3 linked regions of the Struthio camelus genome follow. The protein of the gene in region 1 purifies or fractionates together with the protein of each later gene. This does not show direct contact. Links are inferred from orthologs where the notes say so. Each region holds a gene or a part of one and is shown on either strand. Other genes may lie near its edges.

Region 1 (6,974 bases):
CTGGGCATATCACTTAAGAAAAGTGCATACAAAAATTAGTTGACCAAAGTATTAAGTTCCAAAATACTCAGGAAATTTACTTGCCTGAATAGGAAAAGAATCAAAGGTAAAGCTTGAGAGAGAGTTTTACGGTGTTAATGGAATAAACTACTGAAATAAAATCTGGTATTGAAGAAGAGTGACAAAACAAAACATCTTGCCTCGAGCTGACTCGAAACAGAGAAGAGCTGAACAAAGAACATACTCGAAATGGCAAAATGAGGAGATGCGAGGACGTACTGAGAAATAAGCTTACAATGGAAAACACCTTCCTAGTCGACTAAGTTATCTGGAATTTTACTATAGACAATAAACCCCAGAGGACATGCTTTTAACATTTATCATTTACTTTAATATTATAGGGGAGGAAAAAAAAAACTGCGCATCTTTCAAAAAGAGGCAGACACCTCAATAGGAATTCACTCACTTAGGCTATACGTAGTTGACCTCAGAAAATAAGTCACTAAGACAACCTAATACAAAGCACACTGAGATAAATCCCTTTTTTTAACCAAGGGGACAATCTGTCTGTATCCTTCTTTCACCTTCTCTTCTGGGCGGAAGACTGTAAAAATAAAGTTTTGCTGTTTTCAAATTTGTAAATGATGGTGTTTTACCCCCAAAAGCACACATTTGTCTTTTAGAACCAGCTATCCTAGAAACAATATCCAAATATCTGTTAGGTTACATGGGAATAACGAATACATTTTCTGGAGACAAGTCTTTTACCCAACCAAGTCAAGGACCAGTACAGGCTGAAAAGCCGTGGAAAACTAGACAATGGAAATAGAGCATAATATAATTTTTACTGGTATTGCATGAATTCAGTCAGAGCCTTTTGCCTAATGAATACCTTTCAACAAAAAGTCTCTAATGGCCAAGGCCAACGTTTTCAAAACCTGACTCTCTTGCCAAAAAAGTGAATGGGATGAAACAGTTTTGAAAATCGCACTTGGTGATTCCAGCTCCTTTTCCTATGCTTATATGTAGCTTTTGTTAAGCTTATTTGAGCTTTCCTCAAATACTTTATGTTTTGCTCCAATATATTGTTTTGCTTAAAAAAAAAAAAAAAGTTTCGCTGTGTTTATTTGACATCTGTTGCAGGGAGGGGTGTTGATTAATGCTTTTTAATCTGTAACAGAATTTGATATCTCTTCCTACTGGTTAAAGGAAACTTTTTATAGACCATAAGGTCCAAGCCACCTGAAAGTATTATTTCTAGTGTTCACCCAAGCAAAAATTTCAAGAAAGAATTGTGGTATATTGATTCCCCCCCCAACCCTTACTTAGTATATAATGTAATTAGCGCCTCTGCAGTAGAGTCTGATTTGGCAATTTTAATCAGACTGCCTGCCGGTACAGCCAGGGCTGCTAGGTGACACTTGAGATCTGAAGAGTGCGGGTAAAAATAACCTCTGTTCAACAAGACATGATGAACACCAGACAGCTGAGTCACCTTTGAAACCAATTTTGATTTTTTTGCATTAGAGGAAAATATTAAAGAGAGAGGAATAACATGCTCAAAAGTCCATCTCAAACATATCTTTAATTGACTATCCTGTCATGTAAACACTGAGCTTCCTTCAGATTGCTGTCATTAACTTTAACTTTACAGCAATACAGAGCGCTCAGTCACCTTTGAGAAACCTCAGCCTAATGTAGAGAAGCAATCTTTAAAAAAATTTCAGCTCCATTTAAAAAGTGCAATTTCTAAACACGTGTTTCCTACACAGTATCCACTCACTATTTATTAAGGTTTCCAATGTTTTCAGCAAAGTTAAAAAACGAGTAGGGCCCCAAATCTGCAACACAATACATGCATTTGTGGAGCTTGCGGATGCTTTGCAAGACAACTATAACATCATAGAAAGTTACTACGCATCAAACATTCATTTAACAACAAACTAAATAAGCTAGTGAGGAAATACGCGTTCTTTGAAGTCTAGTGACCTAACCAAAACGCCAGGAGGGAAAGTATTTCAGGAAGACTTTCACACTGATTTTCAGGTTGAACTTCTTTGAAGACTTCCTTAAAAGATCATCAACAGGAGGATAAGCAGTGATACGGTAGGCAAGCAAAACCATTGGCTTTTTCCTAGCCAAAAACATGCGAACGAGAACGTCAGCTCCTTCTGCTTTTTACTATCTCAGTACCAACCTGAAAACAAGGGTTACACAGGGAGAGCATGCCCACCCTGGAGAACCAGAAACGATTTCCCAGGCGATAGAAAAGTTCCCTAGAAAACAACAACAGAAACCCCACAGAAGCCAATACTAGCGCTGCATACAAGCTGGCGGCGACGTGCTTGTCAGAGGAGTCCTCAGCTGCGACAGAGCGCGGACACATCCCGCCATGCCGGCGGCTGCCAGCCGGGGCACCCGCAGGCTGAGGGGGCGAGGGGAGCCGGCGGCGCGGCCGGGACCCCCGGGAAGGGAAGGGGCTGCAGCCCGGGGGTGGCGAGGGAAACCTGGCTAAGGAAGAAGCCGCGGGGGGGTAGGGGGAGGGCAGGGAGGCTGAGGCCTGGGGGAAGCTGCCCCGGGGCTGGGGAGCAGCCGGGAGCGGGGGAAGAGGCAGCGGGGCGGCGGCAGAGCTGCCGCAGGGCGCTGGGAGAGGGGTAGGTCGGCAGCCGGCGGGGTGAGGGGGGGGGAAGCGGAGGCAGCCGGCGGCGGCTTCGCTGCACTCACAGGCGAGTCGTAGGAGAAGGCGCACTCCGTCTTGTAGACCCGGTCCCCTGACTTGGGCACCCGGATCGTGGGCATGTAGGGGACCAGCAGCTCGCCCAGGTCCCCGGCGGCCATCTGCGCATCGCCGCCGCCGCCGCCGAAGAGCGCGGCCCGCTGCATGTTCGCTCGCTCGGTCGCTCGCTGCCTCCGGCCGGCCGACGGCGAGCGGGCAATGGAGGCGGAGGGCAGCCGGGCCCGGGGCAGGGCAGGGCGCGGCGGTAGCGGTGGCGGCGGCGGCAGCGGCGGCGGGAGCCGGGCCTGGGGGAGGGGAAGGGGGAGGGAAGATGCTATTTTTAATCCAATGGCAGCAGGAGCGGCACCAGCTGCGGCGGCACCTCGGGGTCCCGGCGAGGGCGGGAAGGAGGGGCAGGGCGGGCGGCCCCCCGCCGCCTCCGCCCCTGCCTCTCAGGCACCTCCGGCCTCCGAGGCCGCCCGCGGGGGCGGCAGGGCCCGCCGCCGCCACCCCGGCTCCGGGGCGGCCCGGCCCCGCCCCGCGCGCCGCCGGCGACCGTTACGGGGCGCCCGGCGCTGAGGGGCCGCCGCGCCCCTCCCCCTCCCCCCCCCCAATTAGCCGTGATACGGCGTAGATTGGGTACAGGTTTTTCTCTGCGCGTACGAGCGGATTTGTCACCACCCCGCTACGGAGGGTGTTGTATTTCAGCGGAACAAGGCAGCGCCCCTGCCTGAACGGTGTATGAGTTATCTCGGCGAAGCGAAACAGCTGGTAAGGTGGAAGCGATGCCCAGGGGAGTTAAACTGCTCTGCGTGAGGCGACGGTGGGAGCCTGCGGCAGTGCCCGCGGCTGAACGCGGATGTCCGGTGCTGAGGCACAGTGTCTTAAGTCTACGGTGACCTTCTCCCACTTCTGCAGGGGTGCTCTTCTCACTGTGACAGAATACCGATAGCAGTAGAGGAAGAGGGAAGTAACTGAAAGTACCCTACTCGAAATCACGAGGTTTTTCAAACGATATCTAACTGCGTACGCCTGACAGGATTAGCAGCAGCAGGATTAAAGAAAAGACTGGTCCATTTAAAATTAAAGCCAGATAATTTAGATGAGTGGCCTTCCGGCTGTAGCTGACATTAAATCCAAGGGCTCATGGACCACCTGCAAGCAGGCAATTGAAAATAAAAGTTTGTAACACTTCACAGCAATCTGTGTACGTGTGACCTTTGCTAGGAGCACTTTTAACCTCAAAAACTAAAGGTTCAAAAGGTGGTTCTGAATTAACAACAGAGCTGAAAAACCACAGGTTCGTATCCAGCAATAAAGAAATGGGCTGCGAGCGTAAGCTAACCAGTATAGCCTCGTCTCAGCAATTTTTCAAGCAAAATCAAGTGGTGGGAAGCCTGTGAAATACCGCAAGCAGAATATGAGCTCAATGGAATGGCTTTAGACTTCCACAAGAATAGAATTTACATCAACGAATCATAACATAAGAAATCCTAAATCAATTAGAGTCTTCCTAATGTTTGGCAGTGTTAGGAAACAGCAAATGAGTGTTTACTTCAAATATTCTATGTACTATTGCTCAATATAATGAAAGTAATTAATTAGGTTTTAGCAGTCTGAAACCACAAGATGACCAGGATTTGCCAAAGAGGTTGGGCTTACTTCCTTTTTTAAAAAAAAAAAGTGGAAATTTCAGTGTGAACAGGTAATGTAGGGTCACAAACTAAGAAAGGCACAGTCTTTCCCTCTGTTACGGGATTTAAAACTAGAGGAATACTATGGCCATTAGAACCTGAGGAAACGTATCCCTCTAGTGGCAAAAGCCTGTCAGAAAAAAAGAGTAACCTATTTATTCCCAACTTTTTTTTTTCCAAAAGTGGTATAGAAAAATCACAGAATCACAGAATGGTTGCAGATGGAAGGGACCTCTGGAGATCATCTAGTCAACCCCCCCCCACTCAGGCAAAGTCACCTAGAGCACTTTGCCCAGGACCCTGTCCCAGACAGCTCTTGAATATCTCCAAGGATGGAGACTCCACCGCCTCTCTGGGCAACCTGTGCCAGTCAGTGCTCAGCCACCCTCACAGTAAAGTTTTTCCTCATGTTCAAATGAAACTTCCTGGGTTTCAGTTTGTGCCCGTTGCCTCTTGTCCTATCGCTGGGCACCACGGAGAAGAGTCTGGCCCCATCCTCTTGCTGTTTTCCCTTCAGATACTTATACACATTGATCAGATCCCCCCTCAGTCTTCTCTTCTCCAGGATGAAGAGTCCCAGCTTCCTTAGCCTTTCCTCATAGGAGAGGTGCTCCAGTCCCTTCATCATCTTAGTAGCCCTGAAAGGCTGCATACTTTTGAAAATGCATGGCAGGCACGTGTACGGATGTCCTCACATGCAGCTTAAAACAACTAATGCTATCCCAGAAGGTACTTGTTCACTGTTGTCATGTATAAAAATCATCAAGCAATTCCATTCTTACAAACGTGAAAGTAGGCAGCCTCCTCTTGAAGTGCTCTTAAGTAATTGTTTCAGATTTAAGTATGTTCTTACTTGATCTTCAGTAAAGGCCTAACTTCTGCTAACATCTGCAAACCGATTGTAACAAAATTGGTTTTGAATACGGTAATACTCTTCAGAGAAATGTAAAGTAGCAAAATGCAAAATAAGTAAAAAAGCTTGTAATACTAACTAAATTTCAAAGCTTTTTGTTTGCATCTGCAGTCCTACCGTTCCTATCTGTTTGCCTTGTTTGGTATTTTCTGTATGTAACTTCTATACCTTCACTAACATGCAGCAATTGACGAAATAGGTGTTAAAACTGTATGAGGATCATTCCTCATTTACACCATCTTTAATTTCTTATTTTATGGAAGAAACTGATAATATTAAAAAAAAAAAAACAACAGAGATAGGACTTCATACACAATATACAGCCCCTTCCAGCTAGGCAGACCAGATCATGCTAGATAATTACCAATATTCAGTATTCTGTTTATGTAACATCCTGGATCTCTATTTGCTTCGTTCCCCTTACGTATTTCTTAATTTGTTCCTGATTAACCACAGTTGGAGAGCACATTTCTACTCAACTTATATATAAACTCTTTTGTTTTGCTTTTTGATTCCAGTTCACCTTGGAAAAGAAGCCTTTAAAATACACTCAAGTGTTACCAGAGAGAGGACTGTCTTTTTCATCTGTGAAGTCTCTTATACCGTCTCTCTATATTACATACTTTGGGAGTATAAAGTTTTGAAATTTTCACCTTGAGAGTGTTATTTAGGACTTTGATTTGTACATGCTAAAAACTGCCAACAAACAGCAGAAGATGGTATCTGTTTACCTGCAGTAATATTATCCATGAAAAACATTAATCAATGTCTACCTATGCAGTTCTCTTTGGCTTGATCCTTGCTCTTCAGACTTCAAGCAACCCTTTCGTAACAACCTTCACGAAGCAGTTTCCTATTTTTCCCTTCTTCATATTACTAAGCCTGTTACAGTAAGAAAACTCTGTTGAACAGCAGTATCAATAATGTCACTACATCGCTAAAAAATTAGATATACAGCAGTTACTAGGAAAATACTTCGTTTCATATTTGCCCGCTTAGAGTCTTCCTAACAATGAAGCAAGTTCTACATGACAGACCATAGACTTTAACCTAAGAACTGCAGGATATTTTCAAGAATACATGAAAGACTTAAACTTACAAAAAGCCTTAAAGTCATAAAGACTTGAGTTTATATATACTACACACTTTTCTTAAATATTTAAGAAGTTTTCATTTGCTTTCTAGTCCTACAGCTGACAATATGGATAGTAATCGCTACAGGTTTAGGCAAGTGTTTCTGTCTTAATTCAGCCTTCTCAAAACACAGGTAGGATCTGAGGTAAAAAAAACCTAAAGCCTCATGAAAATATAAAAAGATAGTCCTCTGGACAACCACTAGGCATGCAATTCTCCAAGTCACCCGATACTCATTTTTAAAATTAAAATTATGTAACATAACGGGTAGGTACCTCTCAGTATGAGTTTTTTGAAGTGTTAATGTATTACAGAGCACTGACTTGGTTTAAACCTGCATCTATGAAGACACTTTCTGCCCCAAAGGGGGTATGTGGCTCCGTTTTAGATCCATTAGAAAAGGAAGCAGGTATTATATGAAATGTACCTCACTGAAAAAAATCAAAGTGTCAACAGAACAGAGCAACGTGGCAAGACGTTTTAGAATACCTCACTTTTTGGATGATCTAGACAAAGG
Region 2 (7,735 bases), on another chromosome or scaffold:
ATGGGGACGGGAGGGCAAAGAACAGCTCAGGGACCGCTCCAAGGACACACAGACGGGGACAGGGGGACGGGGGACACCGCAGGGACCACCCCAGGGACGCCGAGATGGGGACGCGGGGAGGCAGACGCCTCGGGGACGACCGCTCACTTGCTGGTGGCGATGTACTCCTCCAGCTTCTCGATGCGCTTCTGGTTCTCCTCGATCTCCCGCAGCTTCTGCTTGATCTTGGCCTGGGGCGGAGGGGGGTGAGGGGCGGCCGCGGGGGGCGGGAGCGCCCGCGGCGGGGCCGGGGAGCCCCACTCACCTCCGTCTCCACTTTCTTCCTCTCCTCCAGGTCCAGCCGGTCCTGGTCGGCCTTCTGGTCGCGGTTGAACTTCTCGAGCTCCTGGGCCAGCGTGGCGGCCCGCTTGCTGGCCTCCTCCTTCAGCCGGTGGTACTTCTTCACCTGGGGGGCGGCGCGGCGGCTCAGCGGCGGCCCCGGCGGCGCCCCGAGCCGCCCGGCCCCGGCCCCGGCCCCACCTGGTTCTCCTCCAGCGTGAGGTCGCGGCCCTGGCTCTGGCTCTCCTCCTCCATGCGCTCCTCGAACTCCTGCCGGGCCTTCTCCACCGAGAGCATCTCCTTCTCCAGCTCGTCCATGTCGCCCTTGCGCTTCTTGTACTGCTTCTGCGCGTTCTGCAGCGACTTCTTGGCCGCCTCCAGCTTCTTGATCTTGTGCGACGTGTTCTCCTTGGCCTTGATGTACTGCGGCCGCTTCTGGTTCAGCTCCGAGTCCTTCTCCCTTGGGGCGAGGGCGGGCTGAGGGCGGCCCCGGGGCCGGGCTCGCCCCCGGCGCCTCCCGGCCCCGCCACCTACTTGATCTCCTTCTCGATCTGCTGCTGCTCCCGCATCATCTTGCCCAGCTCCTTCTTGCGGTCCTTGAGCTCGTCCTCCACCCGGTCCATGCGCTTCTTGTCCTTGTCGATCTCCCGGTTCTTCAGGCCCAGCTCCTTGTTGAGCTTCTCGATCTCGGCCTCGTTGTGGTAGAGCTTGAAGAGCTGCAGCTGCACCTGGGCCCGCACCACCTCGTCCTTCAGCCGCTGGTACCGGTCCGCCTGGCGGGGGCGAGAAACGGCCGTGGGGACCCCGCCGGCGCGACGCGCCCCGCCGCCCCCCACCCCGCCGCCGCCGCCCCACCTCCTCCTTCTCCTGCTTGGCCTCCTTGCGCTCGGCGGCGATGTTCTTCTTGCGGTGGTAGTTGAACTGCGTGTCCTCCTCCGCCTTCACCATCTCCTTCTTGCGCTTGTCGTACTCCTGCGCCAGCTCCCCCGAGCGGCTGATCTCCTCGAAGAGCGCCGTGCGCTCCTTGGGGTTCTTCATGGCGATGGACTCCACGGCGCCCTGCGGCGGGGCGTCAGCGCCGGGACCCCCCCGCCCCAGCCCGGCCGGGACCCCCTGCCCCCCCCACCCCCCACCTGGAAGACGAGGAAGTTCCTGGCCTTGATGAGGATGCCGAGCTTCTCCAGCTCCTCGCTGTACTCGCTCAGCTGCACCACCCGGTTGTTGATCTTGTACTCGGAGGAGCTGCCTGCGGCGGCGGCGGGCGGCGGTGAGGGCGGCCCGGCGTCCGTCCGTCCGTCCGTCCGTCCCCCCCACCCGGCGCCCCCCACGCACCCACGATGACGCGGGCGAAGGTGCGGTCCTCGGCGCCCTCCTCCGAGTACACCATGCTGACGAAGGCCCGGCTGGCGGCCGGCTTGCCCACGGGCGCCCCGTGGATCAGGTCCCGCAGCGTCTTCACCCGCAGGTTGCTCGTCTTCTCGCCCAGCACGAAGCTGATGGCGTCCATCAGGTTCGACTTGCCTGCGGGAAGTGAGGGGGGGGGTGGGGGGGAGGCGGCGCACGGCATTGTGGGAGAGCAGGGGGCAGCCGGGCCCCTGCGCCGCGGGACGAGCGAGAGCGCGGTGCATCCTGGGAAGGCCGAAGGGCCCCGCAAGGCATCATGGGACACCTGAAAGGCTCCCCGGTGCATCGTGGGAAGGCCGAAGGGGCCCACAAGGCATCATGGGATGCCTGAAAGGCCCCACAGTGCATCCTGGGAGGACCAAAGGGCCCCGCAAGGCATCATGGGACACCTGAAAGGCCCCACAGTGCATCCTGGGAGGACCAAAGGGCCCCGCAAGGCATCATGGGACACCTGAAAGGCTCCCCGGTGCATCCTGGGAAGGCCGAAGGGCCCCGCAAGGCATCATGGGACGCCTGAAAGGCCCCGCAGTGCATCCTGGGAAGGCCGAAGGGCCCCACAAAGCATCATGGGACACCTGAAAGGCTCCCCGGTGCATCCTGGGAAGGCCGAAGGGGCCCACAGGGCATCATGGGATGCCCGCAGCACCCTGCGGTGCATCCTGGGAAGGCCGAAGGGCCCCGCAAGGCATCATGGGACACCTGAAAGGCCCCGCAGTGCATCCTGGGAAGGCCGAAGGGGCCCACAGGGCATCATGGGATGCCCGCAGCACCCCGCGGTGCATCCTGGGATGCCCAAACAGGCCCACAGAGCATCCTGGGACACTCGAAGGGCCCCGCGGTGCATCCTGGGAAGGCCGAGGCGAGAGGGCGAGGCTGCAGGTGCATTGTGGGATAGCGGGGGCAGCCGGGCCACCGCCGGGGCACGCGGAGCGTCCTGGGAGCGGGCGCAAAGCACCACGGGATAGCGGAGGGCGGGGGTCTCACCGGAGCCGTTGGGGCCGATGATGGCGGTGAAGCGGCGGAAGGGCCCGATGATCTGCCGCCCCTTGTAGGACTTGAAGTTCTCGATCTCGATGAGCTTGAGGAAGCCCATGATGGCGGCGGCGGGAGCCGGCGGGGAACCGGGCCGCTACGGGAGCCCGGAGGGCGGGAAACGGGGCGGCTACGGCAGCCGGGGGGGGACACGGGGACCGCGGCAGCCGCGCGCGCGCGCGCCAAGGCCGGCACCGCCCCGCGCCGCGCTCTCGCGAGAACACCCGCTCCTCCCCCCCTCCCCCTCCCACCACCTCGCACCCGCTACGCCATTGGCCGCCGCCGCCGCGCCGCGCGGGCGCTGATAGGCTCCCGCCGCCGCCGCTCTCCCCCCGCCGCCCCGCCCCTCGCGCCGCGTCAGCCGTCGGGTGGAGGCGGGGGGGGGGGGAGAGCGGCGGCGCGGTTTGCATACGGAGCCCCGCCCCCGGCGCAGGCGGATTGGCCGCGCGGGGGGTGCTCATTTGCATGGGGCGGGGCCCGGGTTGGGAGAGGGGAGGGGGGAGCGCGTCTCCATGGCAACGGGAGGGCGCCGGGCCGAGGGGGAACGTCGGGGGAGGGGGCAAAGGGCAAAGGTCAGGGGGGCAAAGGGCAAAGGTCGAGGGGCAGAGGCCTACGGGTTGAGCCATGTTTATTGGTGCGATGCGGGCCCGTGCAAGCCCCGCCCCCTCGTGCGAGCGGCCCCGGTGGCCGCGGTGGCCATGGTGGCCGTGGTGGTGGTCGTGGTGGCTGCGGTGGTGGTCGTGGTGGCCATGGTGGTGGCTGTGGTGGTCGTGGTGGCCGTGGTGGTGGTCGTGGTGGCTGCGGTGGTGGCCATGGTGGCTGTGGTGGTGGCTGTGGTGGCCATGGTGACTGCGGTGGTGGTCGTGGTGGCTGCGGTGGTGGCCGTGGTGGCCATGGTGGTGGCTGTGGTGGTCATGGTGGCTGCGGTGGTGGTCGTGGTGGCCATGGTGGTGGCCATGGTGGCCATGGTGGTGGCTGTGGTGGTCGTGGTGGCTGCGGTGGTGGTCGTGGTGGCTGTGGTGGTGGTCGTGGTGGCTGCGGTGGTGGTCGTGGTGGCCGTGGTGGTGGCCGTGGTGGCCATGGTGGTGGCCGTGGTGGCTGTGGTGGCCGTGGTGGTGGTCGTGGTGGCTGCGGTGGTGGTCGTGGTGGCTGCAATGGTGGCCATGGTGGCCATGGTGGTGGCCGTGGTGGTCGTGGTGGCTGCGGTGGTGGTCGTGGTGGCTGCAATGGTGGCCATGGTGGCCATGGTGGTGGCTGTGGTGGTTGTGGTGGCTGTGGTGGTGGCCGTGGTGGCCGTGGTGGTGGTCGTGGTGGCTGTGGTGGTGGCCGTGGTGGCCATGGTGGTGGCTGTGGTGGTCGTGGTGGCTGCGGTGGTGGCCGTGGTGGCCATGGTGACTGCGGTGGTGGTCGTGGTGGCTGCGGTGGTGGTCGTGGTGGCCATGGTGGTGGCCATGGTGGCCGTGGTGGTGGTCGTGGTGGCTGTGGTGGTGGCCGTGGTGGCTGCGGTGGTGGCCATGGTGGCTGTGGTGGTGGCTGTGGTGGCCATGGTGACTGCGGTGGTGGTCGTGGTGGCCGTGGTGGTGGCCGTGGTGGCCATGGTGGTGGCCGTGGTGGCTGTGGTGGCTGTGGTGGTGGTCGTGGTGGCTGCAATGGTGGCCATGGTGGCCATGGTGGTGGCCGTGGTGGCCGTGGTGGTGGTTGTGGTGGCCATGGTGGCTGTCGTGGAGGCCATGGTGGCCGTGGCGGTGGCTGCGGTGGTGGCCGTGGTGACCGTGGTGACCATGGTGATGGCCATGGTGGTGGCTGTGGTGGCCGTGGTGGTGGCCACGGTGGCCGTGGTGACCATGGTGGCTGTCGTGGTGGCTGCGATGGTGGCCATGGTGGCCGGGGCGGGGGCTGCGGTGGTGGCCATGGTGGCCGTGATGGTGGCCGTGGTGGCCGCGGTGGCCGCGGTGGTGGCCGGGGGGTCAGCGGGGGCGGCGGCAGGGGCACAGCAGGCGGGCCATGGCGCGCGACAGGCTGGTGCTGAAGGCGGCGTAGATCCAGGGGTTGGTGCAGCTGTTGAGGCTGGCCAGCAGCATGAGGATGGTGAAGGCCGGGCCTGCGGGCCACCGCCGCCGTCAGCGCCGCCGCGGCCACCGCTGCGGCCACCGCGGCCACCCGCGGCCAAACATGTTCTCCGTGTCCCCTCATGTCCCTCCGTGTCCCTCCATGTCCCTCCATGTCCCCCATGTCCTCCGTGTCCCTCCGTGTCCCTCCGTGTCCCTCCATGTCCCCCATGTCCCCCATGTCCCCCCATGTCCCTCCGTGTCCCCCCATGTCCCTCCGTGTCCCTCTGTGTCCCTCCGTGTCCCTCCATGTCCCTCCATGTCCCCCATGTCCCCCCATGTCCCATGTCCCCCCATGTCCCTCCATGTCCCTCCATGTCCCCCATGTCTCCCCATGTCCCCCATGTCCCCCGTGTCCCCCCATGTCCCCCATGTCTCCCCATGTCCCACCGTGTCCCACCATGTCCCCCATGTCCCTCCATGTCCCCCCGTGTCCCCCGTGTCCCCCCGTGACCCTCCATGTCCCCCCATGTCCCCCCATGTCCCCTCATGTCCCCCCCATGTCCCCCATGTCCCTCCATGTCCCTCCATGTCCCCCCATGTCCCCCATGTCCCTCCGTGTCCCTCCGTGTCCCTCCATGTCCCTCCATGTCCCCCCATGTCCCCCGTGTCCCCCCGTGACCCTCCATGTCCCCCCATGTCCCCTCATGTTCCCCCCATGTCCCCCATGTCCCTCCATGTCCCCCCATGTCCCCTCATGTCCCCCCCATGTCCTCCATGACCCTCCATGTGCCTCCATCTCCATCATGTCCCTCCACATCCCCCATCTCCCCCATGTTCCCCAGGTCCCCCAGGTCCCCCCAGGTCCCCCCCGTCCCCGTCCCCGGGCGCTCACCCTCGACGGGGGCCCGGGGGTCCCAGACGGCCCACAGCTGGGCGCAGAAGAAAGGGGCCCAGCAGCCCACGTAGACGGCCAGCACCACCAGCGCCATGCGGTGGCTCTTGGCCCGGGCCCGGCCCAGCCCGGCGACCGCCCGCCGCCGGCCCACCGCCCGGGCCACCGCCGCCAGCAGCCCGGCCAGCAGGGCGGCCGGGGCCACCAGCACGGCCAGCGCCACCCAGGTGACGTAGGCCCGGGCGCCCCAGGGCCGGACGAAGACGGCCCAGCAGTCCCGCTCGCCCGCCGCCACCTCCCGCTGCCCGAAGATGGCCACCTGGGGCAGCCCGAAGAGCAGCGCCAGCCCCCAGGCCGTGGCCAGCGGCCCCCAGCGCCCCCGCAGCTCCCGCCACGCCGAGGCCACCGCCGAGGCCACCGCCCAGGCCGCCGCCGGGCACCCGCCGCCCCGGCGCGCCTGCTGCTCCGGGTGCCCGGGGGGAACCGGCCGGGCGGGAGGCCCTCGGGTGGCACCAGCACCTGGGGACGTGGGGGACGTGGGGGACGTGGGGGTGGCACCAGCACCTGGGGACGTGGGGATGGCAGAAGGACCTGGGGACGTGGGGGACCCGGGGGTGGCAGAAGGACCTGGGGACGTGGGGGACATGGGGGACATGGGGGTGGCACCAGCACTTGGGGACGTGGGGGACGTGGGGGTGGCACCAGGAGTTGGGGACATGGGGGACATGGGGGGCACAGGGGTGGCACCAGCACCTGGGGACATGGAGGTGGCAGAAGGACCTAGGGACATGGGGGACCCAGGGGTGGCAGAAGGACCTGAGGACATGGGGGGCATGGGGGGCACAGGGAGCGACCTGGAGGTGGCACCAGGACCTGAGGACATGGGGGACACGGGGGGCACAGGGAGGGACCCAAGGGTGGCACCAGGACCTGGGGACGTGGGCGACCCAGGGGTGGCAGAAGGACCTGGGGACAACAGAGATATGGTGGACACAGGAGGAGACCTGGAGGTGGCAGGGAGACCTGGGGACAACAAGGACGTGGGGGACACATGGGGGGACCCAGGGGTGGCACCAGCACCTGGGGACAGGGGGGTGGCACGAGGTGGCAGAGGAAGGGGACCCAGGGACACGGGGGGAACAGGGGGGGACGGAGGGGGCTGGAGACCTGGGGACAGTGGGGACGCGGTGGCACCAGGACCTGGGGACAGGAGGCTCTGGGCAGCCTGGGGACCCCGGGTCACCCTGCGCCAGGCGGCGGCCAGCGGCCCCCGGGGTCCCCGGGGTCCCCACGGGTCCTGGGGATCCCTGGTGTCCCCATGTCCCCAAGGGGGGTCCTGGTGTCCCTGGGGAATGTCCCGGGCGTCCTTCGTGTCCCTGGGTCCCCAGTAGAAGTCCTGGGCATCCCTAGAGCCCTGGTGTCCCCTGGGGACCTCCTGGAGGTCCCTGGTGTCCCCATGTCCCCATGGCAGGTCCCGTTGTCCCCTGGGGACCTCCTGGAGGTCCCTGGTGTCCCCATGTCCCCAAGGCAGGTCCTGGTGTCCCTTGGGGACCTCATGGACATCCCTGGTGTCCCCATGTCCACAAGGTGGGTCCCATTGTCCCCTGGGGACGTCATGGACATCCTTTGTGTCCCTGTGTCCCCAAGGTGGATCCTGGTGTCTCTTGGGGACCTCCTGGAGGTCCCTGGTGTCCCCATGTCCCCAAGGTGGATCCTGGTGTCTCTTGGGGACCTCCTGGAGGTCCCTGGTGTCCCCATGTCCCCAAGGTGGGTCCTGGTGTCTCTTGGGGACCTCCTGGAGGTCCCTGGTGTCCCCATGTCCCCAAGGCAGGTCCTGGTGTCTCTTGGGGATGTTCTGGACATCCCTGGTGTCCCCATATCCCCAAGGCAGGTCCTGGTGTCCCTTGGGGACCTCATAGACATCTCTGGTGTCCCCATGTCCCCAAGGTGGGTCCCATCGTCCCCTGGGGACCTCCTGGAGGTCCCTGGTGTCCCCACGTGCCTGAGGTGGGTCTTGGTGTCTCTTGGGGACCTCCTG
Region 3 (6,840 bases), on another chromosome or scaffold:
GGCAGGTTGAAGGTCCCCACCATGACGTAGCTGTTGGCGTTGCGGTCGTGGCCGGGGCCGCCCGGCCCCCGGGGGCCCCCCCCGTTGTGGGGGGCCGAGGAGGAGCCCAGCCCCGAGGGGCCCCCCCCCGAGGGCGACTGGGCCTGGGGGGGCGCCCGCTCCACCAGGTGGATCACTTTGCCCCCCACATCTGGGGGAAGAAAGGACGGGGGGGGAGAGGGTCAGCCAAACCCCTGCCCCGCAGCTCCCCACCCCCCCCAAATGCTGCCTGAAGAGCCCCCAACCCCCCCACTAACTCTAAGGCTCCCCAAACCCCCCAAAACTGCCCTCAAACTCCCTCAATGCTGCCCAAGGGTCCCCCAACCCCCCATAAACGACCATCCACCCCCAAACTGCTGCTTAGATGGCTCCTAAACTCTTCTAAATAACCTCAAATCGCTCCTAAGAGCCACCAAACTCCCACAAACTACCCCAATTACCCCCAAAAACTTCTAAGCTCTTGTAAGAAAACTCCAGAACTCCCCCAAGACCCCCAAAACCACGATAAAATGCCCCAACTACCACCCAAGAAGCTCCTGAAGTCCCTAACTAACCCCGCAGCTCTGCAAACCCCCCCAAAACTGCCCTCAAATGACCCCAATGCTGCCCCAGGAGCCCCTAAACCCCCCTAGCTCCCCCCAGCGCTCCCCAAATGCCCCCAAACCCCCTCAAATGCCCCAGCTCCTGCCCAAGGGGCCCCTAAACCCCCCAATTTGCCCCAGGGCTCCCCAAAAACCCCCAAATCCTCTCAAATGCCCCAGCTCCTGCCCAAGGGGCCCCTAAACCCCCCCAACTCTCCCCAGGGCTCCCCAAATACCCCCAAACCCCCTCAAATGCCCCAACCCCTGCCCAAGGGGCCCCTAAACCCCCCAATTCACCCCAGGGCTCCCCAAATACCCCCAAACCCCCTCAAATGCCCCAACCCCTGCCCAAGGGGTCCCCAAACTCAACCCGCCCCCCAGGTGCTGCCCGGCCCCCCCCCGCCGCCCCCTCACTGTATTCCTGCAGCTTCTTGTCGTCCTGCAGCACCCGGCCCTGGTAAATGAGCCGCTGCTTCTCGGCGGGGATGGAGACGGCGGCGGCGATGTGCTCCTTGAACGCCCGCACCGTGATCTGGGGGAGGGCGGCGGCGGCGGGGGGTCACGGGGGGGCCGGGGGGGGGGGCGGGGATGCGGGGACCCCCCGGCTCGGCCTCACCTCCGGCTCCACGTGGAAGCTCCGGGTCTGCGAGTCCAACGTCTTCACCAGCACCTCCAGCCGCTCCTCCGCCATGGCGCCGCCGCAGCGCTGACCCCTGACCCCGGCCCCCGGGGTCAGCCCTCGCCCTGGCCCCCGACCCCCAGCCCCCGACCCCCGGGGTCAGCCCTCGCCCTCACCCCCGACCCCCGGGGTCACCCCTCGCCCTCACCCCTGACCCCCAGCCCCTGACCCCCGGGGTCAGCCCTCGCCCTGGCCCCCGACCCCCGGCCCCTGACCCCCAGGGTCAGCCCTCGCCCTCACCCCCGACCCCCGGCGTCACCCCTCGCCCTCACCCCTGACCCCCGGGGTCACCCCTCGCCCTCACCCCTGACCCCCAGCCCCTGACCCCCGGCGTCACCCCTCGCCCTCACCCCCGACCCCCGGCGTCACCCCTCGCCCTCACCCCTGACCCCCGGGGTCACACCTCGCCCTCACCCCTGACCCCCGGGGTCAGCCCTCGCCCTGGCCCCCGACCCCCGGCCCCCGACCCCCGGGGTCAGCCCTCGCCCTGGCCCCCGACCCCTGACCCCCGGGGTCACCCCTCGCCCTCACCCCCGACCCCCAGCCCCTGACCCCCGGCGTCACCCCTCGCCCTGGCCCCCGACCCCCAGCCCCTGACCCCCGGGGTCACCCCTCGCCCTCACCCCCGACCCCCAGCCCCTGACCCCCGGGGTCACCCCTCGCCCTGGCCCCTGATCCCCAGCCCCTGACCCCCGGGGTCAGCCCTCGCCCTGGCCCCCGACCCCTGACCCCCGGGGTCACCCCTCGCCCTCACCCCCGACCCCCGGCCCCTGACCCCCGGCGTCACCCCTCGCCCTGGCCCCTGATCCCCAGCCCCTGGCCCCCGGGGTCACCCCTCGCCCTCACCCCCGACCCCCAGCCCCTGACCCCCGGCGTCACCCCTCGCCCTGGCCCCTGATCCCCAGCCCCTGGCCCCCGGGGTCAGCCCTCGCCCTGGCCCCCGACCCCCGGCCCCTGACCCCCGGGGTCAGCCCTCGCCCTGGCCCCCGACCCCTGACCCCCGGGGTCAGCCCTCGCCCTCACCCCCGACCCCCGGCCCCTGACCCCCGGGGTCAGCCCTCGCCCTAGCCCCCGACCCCCAGCCCCTGACCCCCGGGGTCAGCCCTCGCCCTGGCCCCCGACCCCCGACCCCTGACCCCCGGGGTCAGCCCTCGCCCTGGCCCCTGATCCCCAGCCCCTGGCCCCCGGGGTCACCCCTCGCCCTCACCCCCGACCCCCGGCCCCTGACCCCCGGGGTCAGCCCTCGCCCTGGCCCCCGACCCCCGGCCCCTGACCCCCGGGGTCACCCCTCACCCTGACCCCTGACCCTTGGGGGTCAGCCCTCACTCTGACCTCTGACCCCCCGACCCCAGAGGTCAACGCTTGCCCTGACCCCCGACCCCGCGACCCCCAGCCTCTGACCCCACCCCGACCCTGACCCCGCCACCCCCACGCTGACCCTCGACCTCTGACCCCGCGGCCTACACCCCACCCCGACCCCTGACCCCCGCGGCCCCGACTCCCACCGCAAACCGGCAGGCCGGCGCTCCTGACCCCCGCCCGCCGCCCCTCACCCCCCGCCGGTCGGCGGCGCCTTGCCTCCGCGGGCAGTCGCTTCCGGCTCGGTGCGCGATCCGCTTCCGGGGCAGGCGGGGGGGGGAGCGGGTCGGCTTCCGGGGGGGCTGGGCGCGCCCTGGGGCGGGCGCGGAGCCGCCGCCGGGGCCGGGCCGGGGCCGCGGGGCCGCGCTCGGTGCGGAGCGGCTCCTCCGTGCGCCTCCGGCCGCGCCGCCCGGCCGCGCTCTGCCGCGCATGCGCGCCGCCGCGCAGGACCCCGCCGCCGCGCCGGGCTGCCCGCGCCGCGCCTGCGCCGCTCAGCAGGCGTCCGCCGCCGCCACCCCAGCCGGGACGGGGGTGGGGGGGGCCTCGCTGCTTCGCGCATGCGCGCTGCGGGTGAGGGAGTGAAGCCGCGGCGGCCGCCATCTTGGCGATTGCGCCCTGGGCAGAGCGGCCATCTTGGCTGAGGGCGCCGCCATCTTGGCTGCGGGCCGGGCCCGTTTCCCGCCCCCTCCCCCGTGTGTTGCGGTAGGCCCGAGCGTAAAGATGGCGCTGGTGCCCCCCCCACCCCGCGGCAGGGCCCATGTTGTGCCCGGGGGGGAGGGGGCAGAGCAGCCGAGGCCCCCGTTGTGTTACAGGAGCACAACCCCCCCGACTGACGGGGCCAGCTCTCACCCAAATCCGTGTTTATTTAAATAAAAACAAAGGAGGGGTCCCGGGGCGGGGGAAGGGGCGCTGCCCCCCGGTTTGAGGAGCCCCGACAATAAACAGGCCGGGGGGCGGGGGTGCCCTCACCCAAGATGGCGGCCGGTAGCGGCGCTGCCCACACCCGACATGGCCACCCCCACCGGTCGGGAAGGGGGACAAAAAAGGCGGGAACCCCCCCCCACCACCTCCGCGCGACCCCCCCTGTTGCTATGTAAACAGAGCATCCCCCGCCCCCCCGTCCGAAAAGAGACACCACCAGGCCGCATCCAGACCCAGAATCAGCTTTATTTGCCCCAATTCCAGCTGCTCCCCTCCCCCCTGCGACACGGGCGCCGTTTGTCCCTCGCAGGCTCCGGGCCGCGGCTGGGGGGGGGGGAAAGAGAAGCGTCAAGGGGGGGGGGAACAAGGGGGTCCCGGGGGGGTAACGGGGGGGGGATGGGGAGGTTCCCAAGGGAGGTAACAGGGGGTCTTGGGGGGGGGGAACAAGGGGGTCCTGGAAGGGGTAATGGGGGCATCCCGGGGGGGGAACAGGGGGGTCCCGGGGGGGGGTAATGGGGGTTAACGGGGGGGTCCCGGGGGGGGGGATGGGGAGGTTCCCAAGGGAGGTAACAGGGGGTCTCGGGGGGGGGGAACAAGGGGGTCCTGGAAGGGGTAATGGGGGCATCCCGGGGGGGAACAGGGGGGTCCCGGGGGGGGTCACCAGGGGGGTAACAGGGGGGAGTAATGGGGGTTAACGGGGGGGTCCCGGGGCCGCCTCGGCTCAGGGCGCTGCGAGGGGTCGTCACGGCGGGATCGGCCTCGGTGCGGGTTCCTCATCGCCGGGGGGCCCCGGGGGGGGCCCGGTTGGGGGGGGGTCACTCACCGCGTCATGCCGGTGCCGACGGGCCTCGGGCTCCTGCGAGACACACGGGGGGGGGGGGAAGGGGGGTGTTAGCGAACGGGAGGGACCCAGGCGTCCGGCGGGGGGGCGGGAGGGAGGGGGCGTCGCTCAGGCTGGGGGGGTCGTCAGGGGGGGTCAGAGACTCTAGTCTGGGGGGATCATCACAGCGACGCCCCGGACCCGCGGGGATCGGGGGGGGGGGGGAATCCTCACCCCATGGCGCAGCCGGGGGGGCCCAGGCGTCCGGGGGCTCCGACCTGCGGGAGGGAGAGAGAGAGGGGTGAACGGGGGGGGGGGGAGGGACTGAGGCGTCCGGGGAGGGGGAGGGACGGAGGGGGCGTCGCTCAGGCTGGGGGGGTCGTCAGGGGGGTCGGAGACTCTAGTCTAGGGGATCATCATGGCGACGCCCCAAGGGGCAGGGGCCCAGGCGTCCCGGCTCCCCCCCCCAACAACGGGGCCCAGGCGTCCTGGCTCCCCCCCCCCACCACAACGGGGCCCAGGCGTCCCGGCTCCCCCCCCCCCCACAACAACGGGGCCCAGGCGTCCCGGCTCCCCGCCCCCCCCAAACAACGGGGCCCAGGCGTCCCGGCTCCCCCCCCCCCCAACAACGGGGCCCAGGCGTCCCGCCCTCCCCCCAAACAACGGGGCCCAGGCGTCCCGGCTCCCCCCCACCACAACAACGGGGCCCAGGCGTCCCGGCTCCCCCCCCCCACCCCCAACAACGGGGCCCAGGCGTCCCGGCTCCCCCCCCCCCACCACAACGGGGCCCAGGCGTCCCGGCTCCCCCCCCCCCCCAACAACGGGGCCAAGGCGTCCCGGCTCCCCCCCCCCCCAACAACGGGGCCCAGGCGTCCGGGCGCCCCCCCTCCACGGGGCCCAGGCGTCCCGGCTCCCCCCCCCCCACCACAACGGGGCCCAGGCGTCCCGGCTCCCCCCCACCCCCAACAGCGGGGCCCAGGCGTCCGGGCGCCCCCCACCTGCCCGCGGCTCCCCGGCGTCCGGCGGGAAGAGGCCGCGCGCCGCCCCCGCGGGGCCCTTTATAGCGGCGGCGCCGAGGCCCCGCCCCCTCGGCCCGCCCGCCTCAAAGATGGCGGCGCTGCCCGCGCGCAAGATGGCCGCCGCGGCTTCGCTCCCCGCCCGCCTGCGCGGACCCCGCCTCCCTCAGCCCCGCCCCCTCCCGCGACCCCGCCCCCACCGCAACCCCCGCCCTGCTAAGCCCCGCCCCGCCGGCCCCGCCCCTCCCGCGGCCCCGCCCCCGAGGCAGACAGCGGCGTCCAGGGACCCGGCGAGGCCGGGCGACTTTATTACCAAAAAAACCAGAAATTGTACAGCTGAGGGGAGCCCGGGGGGGAGGGGCCCTCCGGAGCCCCCGCCCCCCGCCGAGCTCGGGCTTTTTCTCTTTTTTTTTGTCTTTTCAGGCCTTTTTTCTATAAAACCCCCCGGGTCCGGGCGGGGGAGGCGCCGCGGGGAGGCGGCGGCAGCCGTGGGGGGGGGCGGCTGGCGGGGCGGGGCCTCCCCGCTTCCTCTTGCGTCCGGGCGGCGGCGGTTTCGGGGGCCCCCTCCCGGCCAGGGCGGCGGTTTCGGGGGCCCCCCTCCGGGCAGGCGTCGGCGGTTTCGGGGGCTCCCTCGGCAGCCGGACGGTCGGAAGAGGGGAGGAACGAGGAGACGCGAACCGGGCGGGAGGGCGGCGGGCGCCGGGCAGCTTATCGGGTCTGCTCGACTGGAGGGGGGGGAGAGCGGGGTGAGGGCGGCCCCGGCCCGGCCCCCCGCCCGGCCCCCCGCCCGGCCCCCCGCTCACTGTAGGAGGAGATGTCGATCTCGTCGGGCAGCTCGCTGATGTTCACCTCGAAGCGGTCCTGCACGTCGTTGAGGATCTTGGCGTCGTTCTCGTCCGACACGAAGGTGATGGCCAAGCCCTTGGTGCCGAAGCGCCCGGCCCGGGCCACCTGCGCGACGGGAGGCGGCGCCGCCGTCAGCCCCCCGCCCGGCCCGGCCCCCCGCCCGGCCCCCGCCCGGCCCCGGCACCCACCCGGTGCAGGTAGGTGTCCGAGTCCTCGGGCATGTCGTAGTTGAAGGCGATGTTGACCCGCTCGATGTCCATCCCCCGCCCGAAGAGGTTGGTGGCCACCAGGATGCGGCGCTGGAAGTCCTTGAACTGCTGGTACCGCGAGAGCCTGGGGGGGACGGGGCGGGGGGTGTCAGGGAGGCCGGGCCCCCCCCCGGGCCCCCCCCGGCCCCCCCGGCCCCCCGGCGCACCGCTCCTCCTGGGGCATGCCGCGGTGGATGGCGATGGCCGGGAAGTTCTGCTCCACCAGCAGCTGCGCCAGGGCGATGCAGCGCTGCACCGACTTCACGAAGATCACCACCTGCGGGGGGCGGGCGGGGGGTCACTTGGGGGTCCCGGACGCCGGGGCCCGTCC

Evidence for each region. Proteins that work in one complex are often made in the same cells at the same time.
Region 2: the proteins of USP13 (region 1) and SMC1A purify together in Homo sapiens (affinity purification with mass spectrometry; 5 studies listed by BioGRID and IntAct, with this or other methods). This does not show direct contact. The link is inferred for Struthio camelus from reciprocal best matches to the Homo sapiens genes USP13 and SMC1A.
Region 3: the proteins of USP13 (region 1) and BAG6 purify together in Homo sapiens (affinity purification with western blotting; 3 studies listed by BioGRID and IntAct, with this or other methods). This does not show direct contact. The link is inferred for Struthio camelus from reciprocal best matches to the Homo sapiens genes USP13 and BAG6.

Annotation. Positions count from the first base shown.
Region 1 is NC_090950.1:24,654,032-24,661,005, forward strand, and holds the start of USP13 (ubiquitin carboxyl-terminal hydrolase 13), read right to left. Parts: upstream 3,004-6,974; 5' UTR 2,884-3,003; coding exon 2,725-2,883; intron 1-2,724. UniProt on the Homo sapiens protein: Deubiquitinase that mediates deubiquitination of target proteins such as BECN1, MITF, SKP2 and USP10 and is involved in various processes such as autophagy, endoplasmic reticulum-associated degradation (ERAD), cell cycle progression or DNA damage response.
Region 2 is NC_090979.1:409,514-417,248, reverse strand, and holds the start of SMC1A (structural maintenance of chromosomes protein 1A), read right to left. Parts: upstream 3,003-7,735; 5' UTR 2,816-3,002; coding exon 2,707-2,815; intron 1,840-2,706; coding exon 1,651-1,839; intron 1,565-1,650; coding exon 1,452-1,564; intron 1,378-1,451; coding exon 1,174-1,377; intron 1,092-1,173; coding exon 853-1,091; intron 779-852; coding exon 520-778; intron 446-519; coding exon 305-445; intron 231-304; coding exon 148-230; intron 1-147. UniProt on the Homo sapiens protein: Involved in chromosome cohesion during cell cycle and in DNA repair. Central component of cohesin complex. The cohesin complex is required for the cohesion of sister chromatids after DNA replication.
Region 3 is NC_090977.1:58,862-65,701, forward strand, and holds the start of BAG6 (large proline-rich protein BAG6), read right to left. Parts: upstream 3,003-6,840; 5' UTR 2,878-3,002; intron 1,334-2,877; 5' UTR 1,312-1,333; coding exon 1,237-1,311; intron 1,153-1,236; coding exon 1,035-1,152; intron 191-1,034; coding exon 1-190. Other genes in the region: spliceosome RNA helicase DDX39B, read right to left, coding at 6,124-6,140, 6,219-6,366, 6,450-6,594, 6,677-6,786. UniProt on the Homo sapiens protein: ATP-independent molecular chaperone preventing the aggregation of misfolded and hydrophobic patches-containing proteins.